3 linked regions of the Ovis aries genome follow. The protein of the gene in region 3 interacts with the protein of the main gene of each other region in a biochemical or structural test. Links are inferred from orthologs where the notes say so. Each region holds a gene or a part of one and is shown on either strand. Other genes may lie near its edges.

Region 1 (5,100 bases), on a different chromosome or scaffold from region 3:
AACTCTGGGGCGGCTTCCAGCCTTGGCTTGGTCAGATCAGAGTCCAGTGACAGGGGCCCAGTGCCTCCCCTTCCCTTCTCTCAGGTTGTCTTGGAAACCCAGGCTTGCTGGCTCCAGAGAGCGGTGGGTCCCTGGGCCCCTGCCCTCCCTGCCACTCCATCACCCTGCCAAGCCTGGCACCTCCCCCGCCCTGGCCCAAGCCAAACGGGGCAGCCACAGCCCAGGGCAAGGAGGAGCTGAGCCGTGCTCTGCTCCCTGGTCTGGACCTTCTCCCTGGGAAGATGAAGACAGCTCCCGAGGGGGTGGGAGGCGCTAGGTGGAACCTCTTTGGACTGTGCAGTGGGTGGGGCTTCCTTGAGGGTCAGATGTGGAGCACAGGGGTCCACACAGAGGTCTTGCCACAAATTCAGATCGCCAGCTTGGTGGGGCCCAGTGGGTCCTGGGGGTATCCTGGAAGCCACTAGCAGACTCCAGTCATGGGAGGTGGGTACCACTGTGCCCTTGTCTCCCAAGTTCATGGAAAGCAGGTAAGTCTGATAATCCCCATCCTCACTAGGGGGAAAGCTGTGGCCCCGAGAAGCCCCCAGCCTTGCTCTTGGCAGTGTGGTGTGGGAAAGGGAAAGTGCTAGTCGCTCAGTCCCACCTGACTGTGGTCTGTAGCCCACGAGGCTTGTCTGTCTGTGGAGTTCAAGGGCATGGGTCACCATGCCCTTCTCCAGGGGATCTTCCTGACCCAGAGATGGAACCCAGGTCTCCTGCATTGGCAGGCAGATTTCCTACCCCTGAGCCACCAGGGAGGACCCAGTGTGGGAAGACAGCTGAAATCTGGACTCCACTTGGCTGCTCCTCTACCTTCCCCTGACTCCCCCAGCACCCTTCTCCCCCGACTCCCAAGTCATCAACCCTCTCTCTTCCTGGCTGGGGAGGAAGGGCCCTGGGAACCTCCATGACTGCAGCCTCTGATCAGAGGGTGTTCCCCCTCCCAAGTGCATGTAAGTCTGCGCGTCCCCAGCCACTGCCTCCTGCCCAAAGCTGGGCAGCCCACGGCTCACAGGTGAGCGGGTGCAGTGGAGGGTGAGTCAGGGTCCCTGTGTCCCCTGCCCAGCCACTGTGGGAGGGCTGGACGAGAGGTGTGCCTGCCCAGTCCAGGGCAAGGAGAAAGACGTACCCTGACCTTAAGCTATGAGTTCAGAAGAAACCCACCCAGGCTGACCTGAGAGGGAATAGCCCCCTTTGCGGCCAGGTGGGGTGTCTACCCTGAGCAAGGCCTGGGAGGGTGACCCCAGGCCGTGTCCCTGCCCTCTGACCCCACCTGTCGCCACCAGGTTCCCCCTTGGCTGGGGGACGGCACGCCCAGGACTCTGCCCTGAGCCCTGGGGCCCCCTCCATCCCCACACTGGCCAGGAGGAGTTGGGGTTCTTTCGCAGCTGGTGCAGGTGATAATCATAACCAGGGCGTGGTCCCAGTTCTGTTGACACAACCATCACCTAGGAAGCATTCGAAAAATACTGATTCCTAGGCCTGTCCCAGACCCACGTAGATAAACACCTTGGTGTCAAAGCCCAGGGATCTGTATTTCTAACCAGCATCCCGGGTGGTTGGGAGGCAGCTGCCTGGAATTTCAACCCTGTCTACAACAGCGCTTTTTTCAAACAGCTCCTTACTCATCAGTGGTTCTTGGGATTAATTAAGTAGGCACCTTTCTTCCTTTTTTTTTTTTTTTCAACTTTTTATTTTGTATTGGAGTGTAGGCGATTAACAATGTTATAACAGTTTCAGGTGAACAGCTTAGGGGCTCAGCCATACATATACATGTATCCATTCTCTCCCAAACTCCCCTCCGGTCCAGGCTGCCGCGTAACACTGAGCAGAGTGCCCTGTGCTGTGCAGGAAGTTCCTGTCAGTTCTCCACTTTACATATGCAGTGCGCACATGTCCATCTCCAGCTCCCCAGCCGTCCCTCCCCCATCTTTTTAATCAATCTGAATAGGAAATATCAAAGAGCCTTGCGATGTAGTAAAGGCAAGTTGTTTTGTTAAATGCTAGTCTGAGGCTGCTGGGTTGCCAGAATGTCCGGTGTACTATAGTGGGGGGCAGTCAAGAGACTTAAACACTGAGCTTGGGGAACAAGGTCGAGTGGTCTACCCAAACCCACGACCCCCGCCTTCCGCGCCCCCCTCCGTCCACAGCTTCTGACTCACCTGCGCTCTCCTCTTCCCATCTAGGTCCCTTGCCTGAGCCCATTACCAACGGGGAGATCGAGAAGGTAAAGGCAGAGCCCTGATGCTTCTCGGGCTCAGTCCTGGGGCTGCGGGAGGTGGGGGAGGAGGCGTGGTTAGGAGGAGGACAGGGTCTGGTTCAGGTGGAAACCTCGTGTCTCCTGGCAGCTGTCTCCTGAGCCCCAGGCCGTGTAAGGGCCCCCGCTTGGGGCCGAGGCAGAGGGGACGGGGCCGCCTGGCCAGGCCCTCCGCAGCCACCATCCTGGGTGATGGGCCCCGCCTCCAGCTCCCCACCACACAGGAGGCCATTCTTCCCCCCAAGAACAGAGCGGCAGTGTCTGCCCGCCGCCTGCCCAGGCCCTGCTACTTCCAGTCTGGGTTGGGAGAACAAAGCCCCTCCTACCCAGGCCGAAGGGAAGAGGAGGCAGTGGGGGCCGGGGGAGAGATGGTGCAGCCCAGTGCCAGCTGGGGCCACAGGAACCCAGGCAGAAGCGGAGTGCCCAGTTGCAGCCCAAGGCCTGGGCTCTGGGACAGCGCCCTCAGGGTCAGACTATGGGGTGAGAGGGCTCCTCGGGGTCTGCTCTAAGGCTTCCTTTCCCTGGGGTCTCCTGCCGGGGTCGGGGGGTTGTGCAGCAAGAAGGCCCTGAACCACCTGAGCCTTCAGTCACTTTCCCTGTGGGTCTCTCACTCTCCCCCACCTTATTCCCTCGAAGCCCTTCTTGGCTGCTTGAGGGTTGATTTCAAGAATCCGGGGTCAAGTCCAAGAAAACAAGTCAGGTGGGCTGTAGGAGACTCAGGGGGCATCACGGGTGTTCCCCACACCGAGCAGTCTCCCGGCACCCCCACGCCCCAGGAGGCCCCTCTGTGGTCACTGTGCCAAGGAGGAGTCAACTCCAGAGGCTGCCTGGGAGGACAGGGGCGGTGTGAGCCACCCAGCTAGTCCCATGAGGGATGGTCCCACTGCCCTGGATGGTGGAACCTGGCTGCCCTCTGATCCTTGGAAGAATGTGAAAATGTAAATCCCCGCGGGGCCCTGGCAGGCTCAGGCAGGCTCTGGGGTGGATGGCAAGGCTCAGACCGAGGCCCCGTCTTCCCCGGGAATGCCCTTCGTAGCTCAGGCCTGCCCACCCACATGCCTCCTCTCCGTACCAGGAGAACAGTCCTGAAGCCCTGGCCGAGACGGCCTCCGAGAGCCCCGTGCCACCCCTGGCAAGAACCGCCTCCAGTGACACCAGCGAGGAGGTAAGGCTGGGTGGGTGGGGGGTGGCCCCGGGTGACAGCAAGTCAGGCGTCGCTCACTCCTGGCACACCAGCCCGCCGTGGAGGTCACACGCTGAGTCACGTTCTGTTCTCGTGACCTGGCTTCCCCACACATGGCCTCAAGGGAGCACTTCGCCGAGGCACTGAGGCCCGCTCTCTTGCTCCTCTTTGCAGCTGAATTCCCAAGACAGCCCCAAGAAACAGGACTCCACAGCACCCTCGTCTACCTCCTCCTCGTCCTCTGACCCCATCCTGGACTTCAACATCTCCCTGGCTGTGGCCAAAGAGAGGGCCCACCAGAAGCGCATCAGCAAACGGGCCCCGCAGATGGACTGGAGCAAGAAAAACGAACTCTTCAGCAACCTCTGAGCCACACCCCCTGCACCAGCAAAGCCCAGTCCCACACCCAGCCAACTCCCTCTCCCCCACTTACCCCCAGATCAGCACACAAATCAGCACCAGCATCTCCTCTCTCGGCAAATCTGATCTTTCTAGAGAACCATACTCTTCCCTTACCTCCGACAAGGTGACTGTTTTTCTGTCCTGCCCCAGTTAAAAAGCAGACTCTGTGCCCCTCCTCGCTGGGTGCTTCAGCCCACCTGCAGTCCCCCTGCCACTGTCCTGGGACGTCACTGGGACCTCCATCGAGCAAAGATCCTAAGACTGGGCGAGAGGTCACCTTCCCTCCTGACCCCAAGTGATGACCAGGTCTGGGATCTACCAGGGAAGGATTCTGACCACAGCAACATCCTGGAGTGGACTGGGGCCACCATCCTCAGAGCTGTGACTTGGGCATCTTATTTTTGATTTTTAAGTGCAGTACTACAGAGTTTAGAAGGACTTTCAATTCTTGATTAACATGATTTCCCAGGTTGTTGCATCCGGGACGTAGCAGTGGCCTTACCCTTCCTTCAACTTTTTTCTGCCCCACCCCCCACCCCCCCAGAGACCTAGGCAACATGGGGAGGGTTTGGCCACCCCCTGCCCAGCCCTGAGCCAGACACAATTGTAAGGAAATTCTTACCCGAAATTCAACTAGTTTCTCCAAACCACCTTGGCCTCTGTGTGTTCCTTTGCAGCTCTGTCCATGCGTGTCCCCAGAGTGGCCTCGGGCTGAGAGGATGGTCTAGGGCTCCCTAGGACCCCAAGCCCGGAGCCAGAAGTGGGGTGGCTTTAACCAGAGGGCCTTGAGCCTGTAGCCGCTGGGTGGCTAGGCCATGCGTGGGTCCTGTGGGAGGACCCGCCGGGGCCCCTGTGTGCTTGGCTCACTAGGGCTGCCCTACAGGGATGACCAGCAGGGAAATGGGGAGCTTAGGGCCCACGTGCGCAGAGGGAGGGCTCTAAGACCCACCTTGGATCCCAGGAGCGTTCAAAGAGTGAATCCACAATGGAGCCAGACTTGGAGACGGAAGGCTTGGCTTTAATCTTTCTGCCCACAGCCAGGGAGGTGCAGATGCCCAGGCATGGCCCAAGCTGGTGTCCCTAACCCCCCCAGATACTCTCATCTTACTTGGCTGTGGACCTGACTGGGGATGGGGAGGACAGACCTGGCCTGCTGGGCCCTGGGACATGCTTGTGGCAGGTGGGGTGGAAGGGACCTTCCAAGGCTGAAAGGCCCTGC
Region 2 (5,624 bases), on a different chromosome or scaffold from region 3:
GACTGAAGTGATTTGGCAAAGCCACTCAATGTTACACAGAGTTGGGAAGAGATGAGCCCACTGGGCTCTTGTGAGCCAGGACAAATAGGCTCCTGCACAGCACTGGACAGAGGCATCTATCTCACAGTCACACAGACGGGGATACCCAGATACACACATAGGCAAATGTGCAGAAATACACACAAATATACATATAGACACATACTGGCCCAGACATCCACACATGCTCAGAAACAGACGTACTCACATAGATATACACGCGGGCACAGATACCGACACACATATGCAGACACACACAGAGATACAAATCCAGGGGCTTCCCTGGTGGCTCTGTGGTAAAGAATCCACCTGCCAATACAGGAGACATGGGTTCGATCCCTGATCCGGGAAGATCCCACATGCCAAGGAGCAGCTAAACCTGTGCACTGCAACTACTGAGTCTGTGCTCCAGAGCCTGCAAGCTACAACTACGGAAGCCTGTGCACCCTAGAGCCTGGGCTCTGCAACAAGAGAAGCCATGAGAAGCCCGAGCACTCCAACCAGAGAATAGGCCTGCTCACCACAACGAGAGAAAAGCTTTTGAAGCAATGCAGACCCAGCCCAGCCAAAAATAAATAAATTAATTAATTAAGGTTATTTTTAAAAGGTACAAGTCCAGAGACACACGCAGGCACACACAGCATACAAACACATTTGTAGACATACAAGTACACTCACACAAAGATAAGGACACTCAGATCCACATGCTCACAGGCATATAGGTACACAACCATGAATACAGACACTGGTGCACACACAGGAAGAGCATACACACAGCTACAGATATACACTACACTTTTCTGAGGCCTCACAAAACCATAGGCACCCTGAGTGATGTACTCAGCTATTTCCTAGTCTATTGGGTTCTTTTGTTTGTTTATTTTTGGCTGCACCAAGTGGCTTGTGGGATCTTAGTTCCCCGACCAGGGACTGAACCTTGGACCTTCAGCAGTGAAAGTGCTGAGTCCTAACCACTGGACAGCAAAGGAACTCCCTGTCTTCTTTTAAATGCAGAGAAACTGGAAGGATTCATAAGAAACTGGTAACAGGGGGATATCAGGTCCAGAGAGGAAGACTTCAGCTGTGAAGAGCAGGGATTTGAGACCTGGACTCCAGGCATCTCTGCTCACGGACCCTGGCAAGTGACTGAGCCTCAGTTTCCTCTCTGTGAAATGAGGCTCATAAGTGTACCTCCCCAGCCCAGGCTTTCATAAGGGCTTTTGGGTGAGCACCTATGCGTCCACACTAAAAACAACAGCCACTCACAGCCCACACTAGGTAAATGGAGACTTGACACTGACCCCCCCTTTTTTTTAAATACTTTAAAATTTGGGAACCACATGAATTTATTACCTGTCATAAAAATAAAAGCAGTAAGGGATTTCCCTGGTGGTCCAGTGGCTAAGACTCCATCCTCCCAATGCACAGGGGTTCAATCCCCGGTCAGGGAACTAGGTCCTACCTCCTGCCTGCCACAACTAAGACCCAGTGCAGCCAAATAAATAAGTAAATACACACACAAAAAAGAAAAAGTAGGGACTTCCTTGGTAGTCCAGTGGTTAAGAATCTGCCTTGCAATTCAGGGGACACGAGGTCAATCCCTGGTTGGGGAACTAAAATTCCCTATGCCACAGAGCAACGAAGCCCGAGAGCCACATGCGCTCCAGAGCCCGCATGTCACAACTGCTGAAGCCCACGTGCCACAGTTAGAGTCTGTGCACCACGAAGAAAGATCCCGTGGGCTGCAACTAAGACCTAACAGCCAAACAAGATAAATAAATAACTATATTAAAATAAATTTTAAAAATTGAGTAAAAGACATGTCCTTTTTTTTGGCCATACTGAGAGTGTTCCATGGTTTTAGTTCCTTGACTAGAGATTGAACCCAGGCCCTTGGCAGTGAAAGCCTGGAGTCCTAACCACTGGACCACCAAGGAATTCCTGAACTATCATTTTTAAAATGCTTATTGGGCTTCCCAGGTGGCACTAGTGGTAAAGAACCCACCTGCCAATACCAGAGACTCAAGAAATGCAGGTTGGATCCCTGGGTCAGGAAGATTCCCCTGGAGGAGAGCACAGCAACCCACTCCAGTACTCTTGTCTGGAGAATCCCATGGACAGAGGAGCCTGGCGGGCTACAGTCCATGGGATCACAAAGAGTTGGACATGACTGAGGCAACTTAGCATGCATGCACACATACAAAATGCTTATTGAGAACCAAAGGAGTTGGTTTCACAGCTGCTGCTTTGGCATGCAGTTGAGATGTACCCCTCTATCTCTGACTTTGTCTCTCTCTCTCTCTCACACACACACCCCCAGTTCTGAGCTCTGACTGAGTGTCCTGGTCCATTTGTGCAAATTCAGGGCCCCAGCCCCACCTTGCTCCTCTGCACCATTGGTCATCTACCCCCACCACTGCCCAAGGCCATCCCACCTCCAGCCACGCCTACTCACCATACACTGTGATTTTAGAGAAACCCACCACCTGGGACTTATCGCAGAGGCCAGAGCAGAGAAGCTCTGTGTCACCAGTCACGTTGGTGAGGCGGAAGGCTGCCCAGCCCAGGCCCCTGCTGTGGTGCTCCTTGGAGAGGGCTGTCTCCAGGGAGATTAATCCAGGGCTGGGGCAATCTAAGCTGCAGTTTACCACAAGGGGCTTTCCAAAAGGCACCACTGGGTCCTTCGGTTCCACTCGTAACTGGTACGTCTGTCCCTGGGCACCTGCATGAACAGAGTCTCTGCTGGGGGCTCCAGTGCCCCCCAGCCCACCCAGCTGCAGGTTCCATCCTTCAACGCCACCCCCCCCCCCACTCCCACCAGCCAAGATAGGAAGGTCTCTGCCTTCGGCGGTGTTTCAGTTTAGTGGGAAAGACAGATGATGGATCAGGAACCAAGGAGAGTTGAGAAGGAGGCCAGGAGGAAGTGAGTCAGGAAAGGGTTCCTGGAGGGAACCACTACGGTCTCTTTTAAAGGGTCAAGGAGGATTTAGCCAAGTGAAAGGCAAGAGGGATCCTGGCAGACTGAAGAACATAGGCAGAGGTCATGAGTCCGGATGGAGCAGGGAGCGAATAAGTGCAGGCATGAGTGGTGGCTCAGATGGTAAAGCGTCTGCCTGCAGTGCGGGAGACCCGGGTTCAATCCCTGGGTTGGGAAGATCTCCTGGAGAAGGAAATGGCAACCCACTCCAGTATTCTTGCCTGGAGAATCCCATGGTTGGAGCAACTTGGTAGGCCACAATCCACAGGGTTGCAAAGAGTCGGACACAACTGAGCGACTTCACTTTCACTTTCACTTGAGTGTTTGGGTGGGTAAGTGTCTATGCTGTGAAGGGGGCAGGGAACAAGTGAAAGGCAGGAACCTGGCCTCAGGGAGCCCTGAAGGCTGAGTTAAGGAGCCACCATTTTTCCCCAAGGATACTGGGAAGCCCCCTGACAGATCTGAGTCAAAGAAGTGTTGCCGCAGCCCTGGGCAGCAGGGTGTGAGGTGCACTGTTCTCCTTCCCCTCCCCAGCAACCCCCCATCTCCAGCCCTCCCCAGCTCACTGGGCCTCACCTGTGGGCAACTGACAGCAGGCAAGAAGCAGAAAGATGAGCGAAGTCCAGTAGACCCTGGGCGGTGGCCCTGAGGGCATCATGGTGCTCAGCCTGGAGGCGGAAGTTCCCTTAATGAAGAGCTGTGCACCGGTGAACAGGCAGGACCTCCAGGGGAAGGAAGAACCGTCACTGCAGCTAAGAATGCAGCAGTCCAGGGGCCACACCTTGCCCAGGATGAGGGAAGGGTAGGGGAATATTTTATGCCACCCCCTGGGAGTCCACAGTGAGGGTCTCAGGAAAATGGAGCGTGCTGGCGAGTCTCCTAGGAGTCTCAGAGGGCAAACCTCGGTTACACTCCTTGTCCCCAGATCAACCCACAGGAAGCGCTAGTGCAAGCAGCTTCCTTTTTTCTCAGTACTGGAAAGCCTGGAGGGGGGCAGGGGTGAAAGACATCTCCCCTTCCTGTTGAACTTAGGTGAAAAAGGCTGTTTTGTTCCCAAAGAGGAAGTTAATGGGGATATCTGCACACTGGCCTTGAAGGAAAAGGGGTGGGATTTCGAGGTGACGTTTCAAGGAGGGAACAATGGGCAGACTTCTGGGCAGGGCTTCAAAGAGTTAACAAGAGATCTCAACGTTCCTGGGAGGCAAATAAACGATTTGGGGGGGGGGTGACAATGAAGGATCCCCTATGATGAGTAAAACTGTGACAGTGAACAGAGCCCACATTTACTGGGGACTTGTGCCGGGCTCTCTGTTGGCTGCCAGAGTGACTTCTATAGGCTCCTTATGTTTCCAGTTGTCATGTACAGATGTGAGGATTGGACCATAAAGGAGGCTGAGTGCAGAAGAATTGATGCTTTCAAACTGCGGTGTTGGAGAAGACTCTTGAGAGTCCCGTGGACTGCAAGGAGATCAAACCAGTCAATCTAAAGGAAATCAACCCTGAATATTCATTGGAAGGAATGATGCTGAAGCTCCGATACTTTGGCTACCTAATGTGAAGAGCCAACTCATTGGAAAAGACCTTGATGCTGGGCAAGACTGAAGGCAGGAGAAGGGGGCGGCAGAGGATGAAGTGGTTAGATAGCATCACCAACTCAATGAACATGAATTTGAGCCAACTCTGGGAGACAGGGAAGGACAGAGGAGCCTGGCATGCTGCAGTCCAAGGAGTCACAGAGTCAGACACGACTGAGTGACTGAACAACAAGTCTTTGAAGATCTCCGGGTGCTCTCCCATTGCTTGCATGCGGTGCTGAGGTGGAGCGTTTCAGGGACAGCTAAATCTTGAGCCACCGTCTGCCAAGGGGGATACTTTCAACTGAGTTCTTATCCCTGTCTTCATCCCTCTTGCCCTTTTCCTCCAGGTAGCTGGTCTCCTCATCCCAAGAGAAGGGACACGTGTGTGTGTGTGTGTGTGTGTGTGTGTGTGTGTGTGTGAGTGAGAAAGAGAGAGAGAGAGGTGGGCACTCCTACTCCATCAGCTCCCTCTCTCAGGCCTGTGACCTGCCTCCCGTGCCTCTGATCTGAGCTCCAGAGAGGGACCTCCTTGAGGACCTTGATAGCACTCAGGGTTCATCCACTTGCCCCATCCTTGAGGCCACGCCCCCTTCTCACCTGGAGTTCCTGCCCCAGTTAAATCTCTCCTCCCTTGCCCCGCCTCTGCAAAAGTCCACTTCCTACATGGTGCCAAGAGAGAAACTAACACCCAAATCAAAAGAATTTGCAAATCATATATCTGATAAGGGATTAATATCTAGATTGTAAGGAATTCCTGCAACTCAACCATGACAAACTCAATTCAAAAATGGGCAAAGGGGACTTCCCTGGTGGTCCAGTAGTTGAGACTCCACGCTCCCAATGCAGGGGCCCAGGTTCTATCGCTGGTCAGGGAACTAGATCCCACATGCTGCAATGAAAAGACCCTGCATGTCACAGCTAAAATCCGGTGCAGCCAAATAAATATTTTTTAAAAAATAAAAAATGGGCAAAGGACTCAAGTAGATCTCCAAAGAAGCTATACAAATGGCCAATAGACATGAAAAAAGATG
Region 3 (5,571 bases):
TCTCACTCATGTGGGACACCGAGAGGAGTCAAAGGCAGAGAGACAGAAAGGAGAGGGCCGGCTGCCAGGGGCTGGAGGGAGTGGGGAGAAGGAAGTTAGTGTTTAAAGGGCACAGTTTGGGACGAGGAAAAAGTTCTGGAGGTGCACGGTGGTGACCACTGCACGGCAATGTGCACGTACTTAACGCCACTCAACTATACGCTTAAAAAACACTGAGATGGTCAAGTGCACGTCATGTGAACTCCACTACCAAAAAACAAACCAAAAAAACACGAACGCCAGAAAAAGAACAAAAGCAAATTACAGATCTTTATGAGAAACAAAAGTAGTGACTGACAGGAGACAGGGATACCGACTGTTATCTGAGCGATATTTTAAAAGCTGAACTCTCAACATCATTTCTTTAGTGAAAGCCACACACCGGGAAAGGTTAAGTTCCTAATCACTGCTCTGAGTAAACCAGAACAGGGCTATGCCCTGAGTAAAGCACTATGTTTAGGTCCGTTTTATACCACAGGAACTGTAAAGCCTGAAGGTCATGTGCCAACTACCAACTGGAAATGAAAAGAAGAATTCAGTGTAGGAAAAAAAAACTGTCTGCATCGTGAATGAATCATCTTGATGATGTAACTGAGGCGAAAGCTCTACTGGCTTCTCAATCTGTTAGCCTATGAAGGTAGTAATTTATTTAACCTAACAGTAAAACAAAACTTATAAAGTACTCCTTTCAGAGAATCTAAAATGTGATGGTAGAAAACAAAACACATAAGCACTCACTACAGAAACAACTCGTTTGAAAAACTAGAAGGTTTCTCATAAACTCCATAGGTATATGAAGTTATGTATTTTATGTATGGGGTGTATTTTCATAGGAATCTTTTATTGTAATTTTCAATGAATCCAGATATTCTCGCCACTGGGATTCAAAACTCCAAAAATCTTCAATTATCTCCTCCCCAATTATCTGGTCACCAGTTCACCTGTGTTCAAGCTGGTAGAACAGATACCACTTGCTAAGAAATGCTGCTCACAAAAAAGCTGCCTTGTTCGCCCAACTTAAATGAAAGCCGTGTGAAGCCCAGGCTGGCCACCATCCCACCCGAGAGAGATTCAGGCGACACAAATCAGATTCGGGGAAAGTGGGTGTAAGAGGTGCGGGCGCAGCAGCGCTAGGGGGTCAGCTGATGTTTCGGAGGTGCGCCAGGAGCCTGCTTATCAAACTCCAGGGCTGCCTGCCTTCATCTGCAATTCAAGTTCATTACCAAAGCCCTCTCCGAAATAGGAATCCTGCTGTCACCAGCAAATTCCCGGGTTAACAGAGCACGGCTTCAGTAGGATGAACTGGAACGAGGCTGCCCCCAGAGAGAGTGCCCCCCACCCCCCCCCTTTAAAAGAGAGCGCCAGGGGAGGAGTTGGGGCGCGCCTGCTCCCAGACCCGGGAAGGCAGCGGGCGCGCGCCGTGGGAAGCCACCTGCCTCTCCTGCGACTCAGGCTCCTCTTCAGGAAAGAAACTTCCAGGTTGTCTTAGGACAGGGCTTTTCCACCGTCCGAAGCCGCCTAAAAGGCATTCTGATTTTTCTCAAAGATCCTAACCCCCAAGGCTCGGCGGCGGAGGGGGCTCGCAAACAAAAGGACCGTAGAGAAAAAAGCATCGCAATCTTGTTTTCTCCAAGAGTTCCACTAAGGGATGACGAGGGAGAAAGAGAGGAGACGATCCCCTCCCTGCTCCTGGCCTCTCGTCCGCCTAGAAAAGAACTCTATTCTTCCCTCCGCCCCCCCCCAAAAAAACCCGAAAAAGCCCCAAACCTTGCCCAGATAACTCCGCTTGAAAACCGTGCTCAACACATCCCGCCTTGCCCACACACACCCAGGGACTTACCGGTTTCGGCATTTTCGGTTCCGGACGGGTTTCCTCGCCTTCCTTGGAAACACGCTCTCCAGCAGCAGCTGAAACGCCCTTTCCCGACCTGCAGGCGGAGGAAGCCCAGTGAGCGTGCCCAGCAGCCCTCCTACCGATCCCACAGCTCCCGCCGCTGCCGCCGCCCCGAGACTCGGCGCCCGCCCCGCGCTGCCGCTTAAGAACCGGCCGGGCGGGCGCCACGATAAGTCACCGCCCAACCTGCAATTACCGCGGGCCGGGCGAGCCCAGCGCCGAGGGGGTGGCGGGGGGCGCGGCGCCGGGGGGCGGGAGCGCCGAGGCGGGGCCAGGCACCACGGGGCGGGGCCAGGCACCACGGGGCGGGGCCCGGGCGGTGGGGAGCGCGGCGCCGGGGGGAGGAGCTCAGGAGAGGGGTGTGGCCAGGGGCGTGGCCCGCCGGGGGCGGGGCGCGGAGCCCGGGCGGAGGGTAGGGCAGAGGAGGGCAGGGGCGGGGAGCACAGAGGAGGGGAAGGGCGGGGCCGGGCGGGGCAGCTGCTGGCTAGGGGTCTGGGCTGCAGGCAGGGGGCCGGGCCGGGCCGGAACCGGGGTAATGGGGGGCTGTCCGCCGAGGAACTCCTCGGGGCGTCCCGGAAGCCCGCGGGATCCCAGAAGACGGAGAGTTTCACTTTGTGAAGCAACCGTTTACCCTAGGGCTGAAACCGCAACCGTCAACCCTTTGAGAAATACTTTGTGAAAATGGTCCCCGCCCGGACGCGGGCGCGGGGCCCGGGGGCGCGTCCACGCAGCCCGGGCTCCGCCGGCGCTCCGGAATAGGGGCCCGAGGGGCCGGGCTGTGGCGCGGGAGGTCGCGCGGCGGCCACGCGGGCAGCCTCGGCTCCACCTGCCGCGTGTGTGGGCCGCGCCAGGGTCCCGCCGGTCCTGGGCTCCCGCGCCTACCGCCCCCTCGGCCGGGCTGCCCGCGCCGCCACACCTGTCGTCCTGTTCCGGCCCCTCCGCCGAGCGCGCGGCGCGAACCCCGCTCCCGCCGACCCGGGCCGCGCCCCGCTCACCCGCGGCTCTTGCAGAGGACGGCTGCGCTCCAAGCGATCCGTGCGTCCGAGCAGTGCGCCCGAGGCCCGCGCTCCCGAGAGTCCGGGGCGGGGCGGGGCCCCGGGGCCGCGCCCCTGACCGCCCCGCCCGGCCCGCGAGGTGCGGCTCGCGGGGAAGATGGCCGCGGGGACCCCGGGAGGGGGCGCCCCCCACCTCCCCCACCTCCCCCACCCTCGGAAAGACCTCTCCTCAACCCTTCTCTGTCCTTCCCCTCGCCTTCGGAGAACTTTGCTGACCTTGACTCAGCTCCCGAGGGTGGAGGAGAGGTGCGAGATCGTCCCGCGGTGGGCTGAGGGAGCGGAGGGACGTGTAAATAAGACTGCAGGGGCCGGCAGGCTGCCACCACGGAGGAGCGGGGCCTCTAGGGGTGCGGCCGTCCCCGTGGTCAGGTCATTTTGTCGTCCTCGCCCCCGGGGCCGAGACGGGATATTTTTTGAGAACCGGGGACCTGGGCCGCTGTGTCTCCCCGCGCACGTGGCCGCCTCCTCCCTCGGATTCCGCGATGATGGGCACAAGTATTAAAAGGCGCTCCATAGCCCAGCGCTCTTGGTTAAAGGACACACTTGTGGCCTCATTTGACTTGATTAACTCAAAGTTTAAGGGGGGGAGGGGGACAGAGAATAAATCTCCTTAGAAATTCTGGGAATTATTTTTTTAATTTTGTTTTTGCAAATGGTTCTCAAAAGGAATTAAACACAGACACGGACTTTGGTGGCCATTGGTATTTGTTGCGCAGCGATTAAGAGAGCTAACGAGAGCACTGGTTCTCAAAGCCTGCTTCCCAGACTAGCAATAACAGCATCACCTGGGAACTTGAAGAAATAGAAATTCACAAGTACTTCCCAAAACCTACAGAATTAGAAACTCTCCGCTTGGGGCCCAAAGTCGGAATCTTAAAGCCCTCCAGGTGATTGTGATGTAGGCTAAGGGTTGAGGCCAGAAATTTTCCTGAATTCCTTTCCTGGTCTAACTCCCTATTTGAGTTGAATAAGTTATTTAACACTTTAACATCTGTAAAATGGCATAATTATGGCACCTATTTCATAGAGTTGTTATGAGGATTTAAGGAGTCAAGGACTTCCCTAGTGGTTCAGACGGTGAGACCCACATTCCATCCCTGGGTCAGGAAGATCCCCTGGAGAAGGGAATGGCAACCCACTCCAGTAGTCTGGCCTGGAGAATTTCATAGACAAAGGAGCCTGATGGGCTCTAGTCCTTGGGGTCACAAAGAGCTGGACACCACTGAGTGACTAGCACAACAACAATGAGTGGATACATGTAAGATGCCTAGAAGAGTGCCTGAAACACAATAAGAGTGCAAATCTGCCCTGGCACAGAGAGCAACTAGTGACTCTGGGCAAGCACTAAACGGTAAGAGTCTCTTAGGTGATGGCACCCCACTCCAGAACTCCTGCCTGGAAAATCCCATGGGCGGAAGAGCCTGATAGGCTGCAGTCCATGGGGTTGTGAAGAGTCAGACACAACTGAGCGACTTCACTTTCATTTTTCACTTTCATGCATTGGAGAAGGAAATGGCAACCCACTCCAGTGTTCTTGCCTGGAGAATCCCAGGGACGCGGGAGCCTGGTCGGCTGCCGTCTATGGGGTCGCCCAGAGTGGGACACGACTGAAGCGACTTAGCAGCAGGATAGAGATACTAGTAGGACCCACTTCATGGGGTTGTAGGAATTGAATGAGGTAATGTGTGCAAAGTGTTTAGCACCATCCTGGCCTCTTAATGCCTATCCTCTCTTTGGGATGGACTGCTTTAGGGATAGCCCTTGTCTCCTATGACCCCTACCCCCACCCCACCCCTAGCTGCAGGTCCAGGGCATTTCAGACATCCAGGTGAGTAGGGAGGCCTTTTTTGAGATTTGGTCCTCAATTTGGGCAGGTCTGTTCCCTCTGAAAAAGGAACTTTTAAGAAGTAAAAATGTAAAGGGAACTGCATTAGTAAGGTAACTGAAAGGTATTTAACCTTCTAGTGATAAAACTTCAGGTTGGACATGTCATTCCTCCCATGCTCTATCTCCAAGTCTTATCACTGCCTGGAGCCTTGTTAGTCATTTTTGGTCCCCAACTATACTGATAGGATATGCCTCTAATTTTTTTTTTTTATCTCACCCAGGTTACAGTATTTTATTTTAACTGGATGTTTGAAATTGCAGTAGCCTAATACCTTCTGGAGCATTTCTACACTTTACCCTTCAGGGGAATACTAAGAAATGAACTGACCTGTGGCAGTGTTGTAAAAATGAAAAAAGATCACAGGTTTTAGAAGCACACAGAGCTAAGTCAATCCTGGTTCCAACTCACAAGCTGGTCATTTTGGGCAAATCTCTTAACCTGACCGAGCTCCCACCTCTCCGTCTGTAGGCTGGAGATGTTTATTTCATAGTGTTCTTGTGTCCCTGAGTCATACAATGTGAGCATTCAACTAACTCAAAGGCAACTTGTAGGTATAATTTTATGGCATAAGTTAAAATAGTACTTTGTAAATCAACTATATTTCAATTTAAAAAAATCTACAAATAATGCTGGAGAGGGTGTGGAGAAAAGGAACCCTCCTACACTGTTGGTGGGAATGTAAATTGGTACAGCCA

What was found.
Region 1: the proteins of EZR (region 3) and NHERF1 form a complex in vitro, tested with the Homo sapiens proteins (2 studies listed by BioGRID and IntAct). The link is inferred for Ovis aries from reciprocal best matches to the Homo sapiens genes EZR and NHERF1.
Region 2: the proteins of EZR (region 3) and ICAM3 form a complex in vitro, tested with the Homo sapiens proteins (2 studies listed by BioGRID). The link is inferred for Ovis aries from reciprocal best matches to the Homo sapiens genes EZR and ICAM3.

What each region holds. Positions count from the first base shown.
Region 1 is NC_056064.1:55,965,097-55,970,196, reverse strand, and holds the end of NHERF1 (Na(+)/H(+) exchange regulatory cofactor NHE-RF1), read left to right. Parts: intron 1-2,225; coding exon 2,226-2,266; intron 2,267-3,371; coding exon 3,372-3,461; intron 3,462-3,653; coding exon 3,654-3,848; 3' UTR 3,849-4,531; downstream 4,532-5,100. UniProt on the Homo sapiens protein: Scaffold protein that connects plasma membrane proteins with members of the ezrin/moesin/radixin family and thereby helps to link them to the actin cytoskeleton and to regulate their surface expression. Necessary for recycling of internalized ADRB2.
Region 2 is NC_056058.1:12,720,640-12,726,263, forward strand, and holds the start of ICAM3 (intercellular adhesion molecule 3), read right to left. Parts: upstream 3,952-5,624; 5' UTR 3,675-3,951; coding exon 3,593-3,674; intron 2,762-3,592; coding exon 2,495-2,761; intron 1-2,494. UniProt on the Homo sapiens protein: ICAM proteins are ligands for the leukocyte adhesion protein LFA-1 (integrin alpha-L/beta-2). ICAM3 is also a ligand for integrin alpha-D/beta-2. In association with integrin alpha-L/beta-2, contributes to apoptotic neutrophil phagocytosis by macrophages.
Region 3 is NC_056061.1:82,935,938-82,941,508, forward strand, and holds the start of EZR (ezrin), read right to left. Parts: upstream 3,461-5,571; 5' UTR 3,205-3,460; intron 3,013-3,204; exon of another isoform or gene 2,850-3,012; intron 1,968-2,849; 5' UTR 1,892-1,967; coding exon 1,880-1,891; intron 1-1,879. UniProt on the Homo sapiens protein: Probably involved in connections of major cytoskeletal structures to the plasma membrane. In epithelial cells, required for the formation of microvilli and membrane ruffles on the apical pole. Along with PLEKHG6, required for normal macropinocytosis.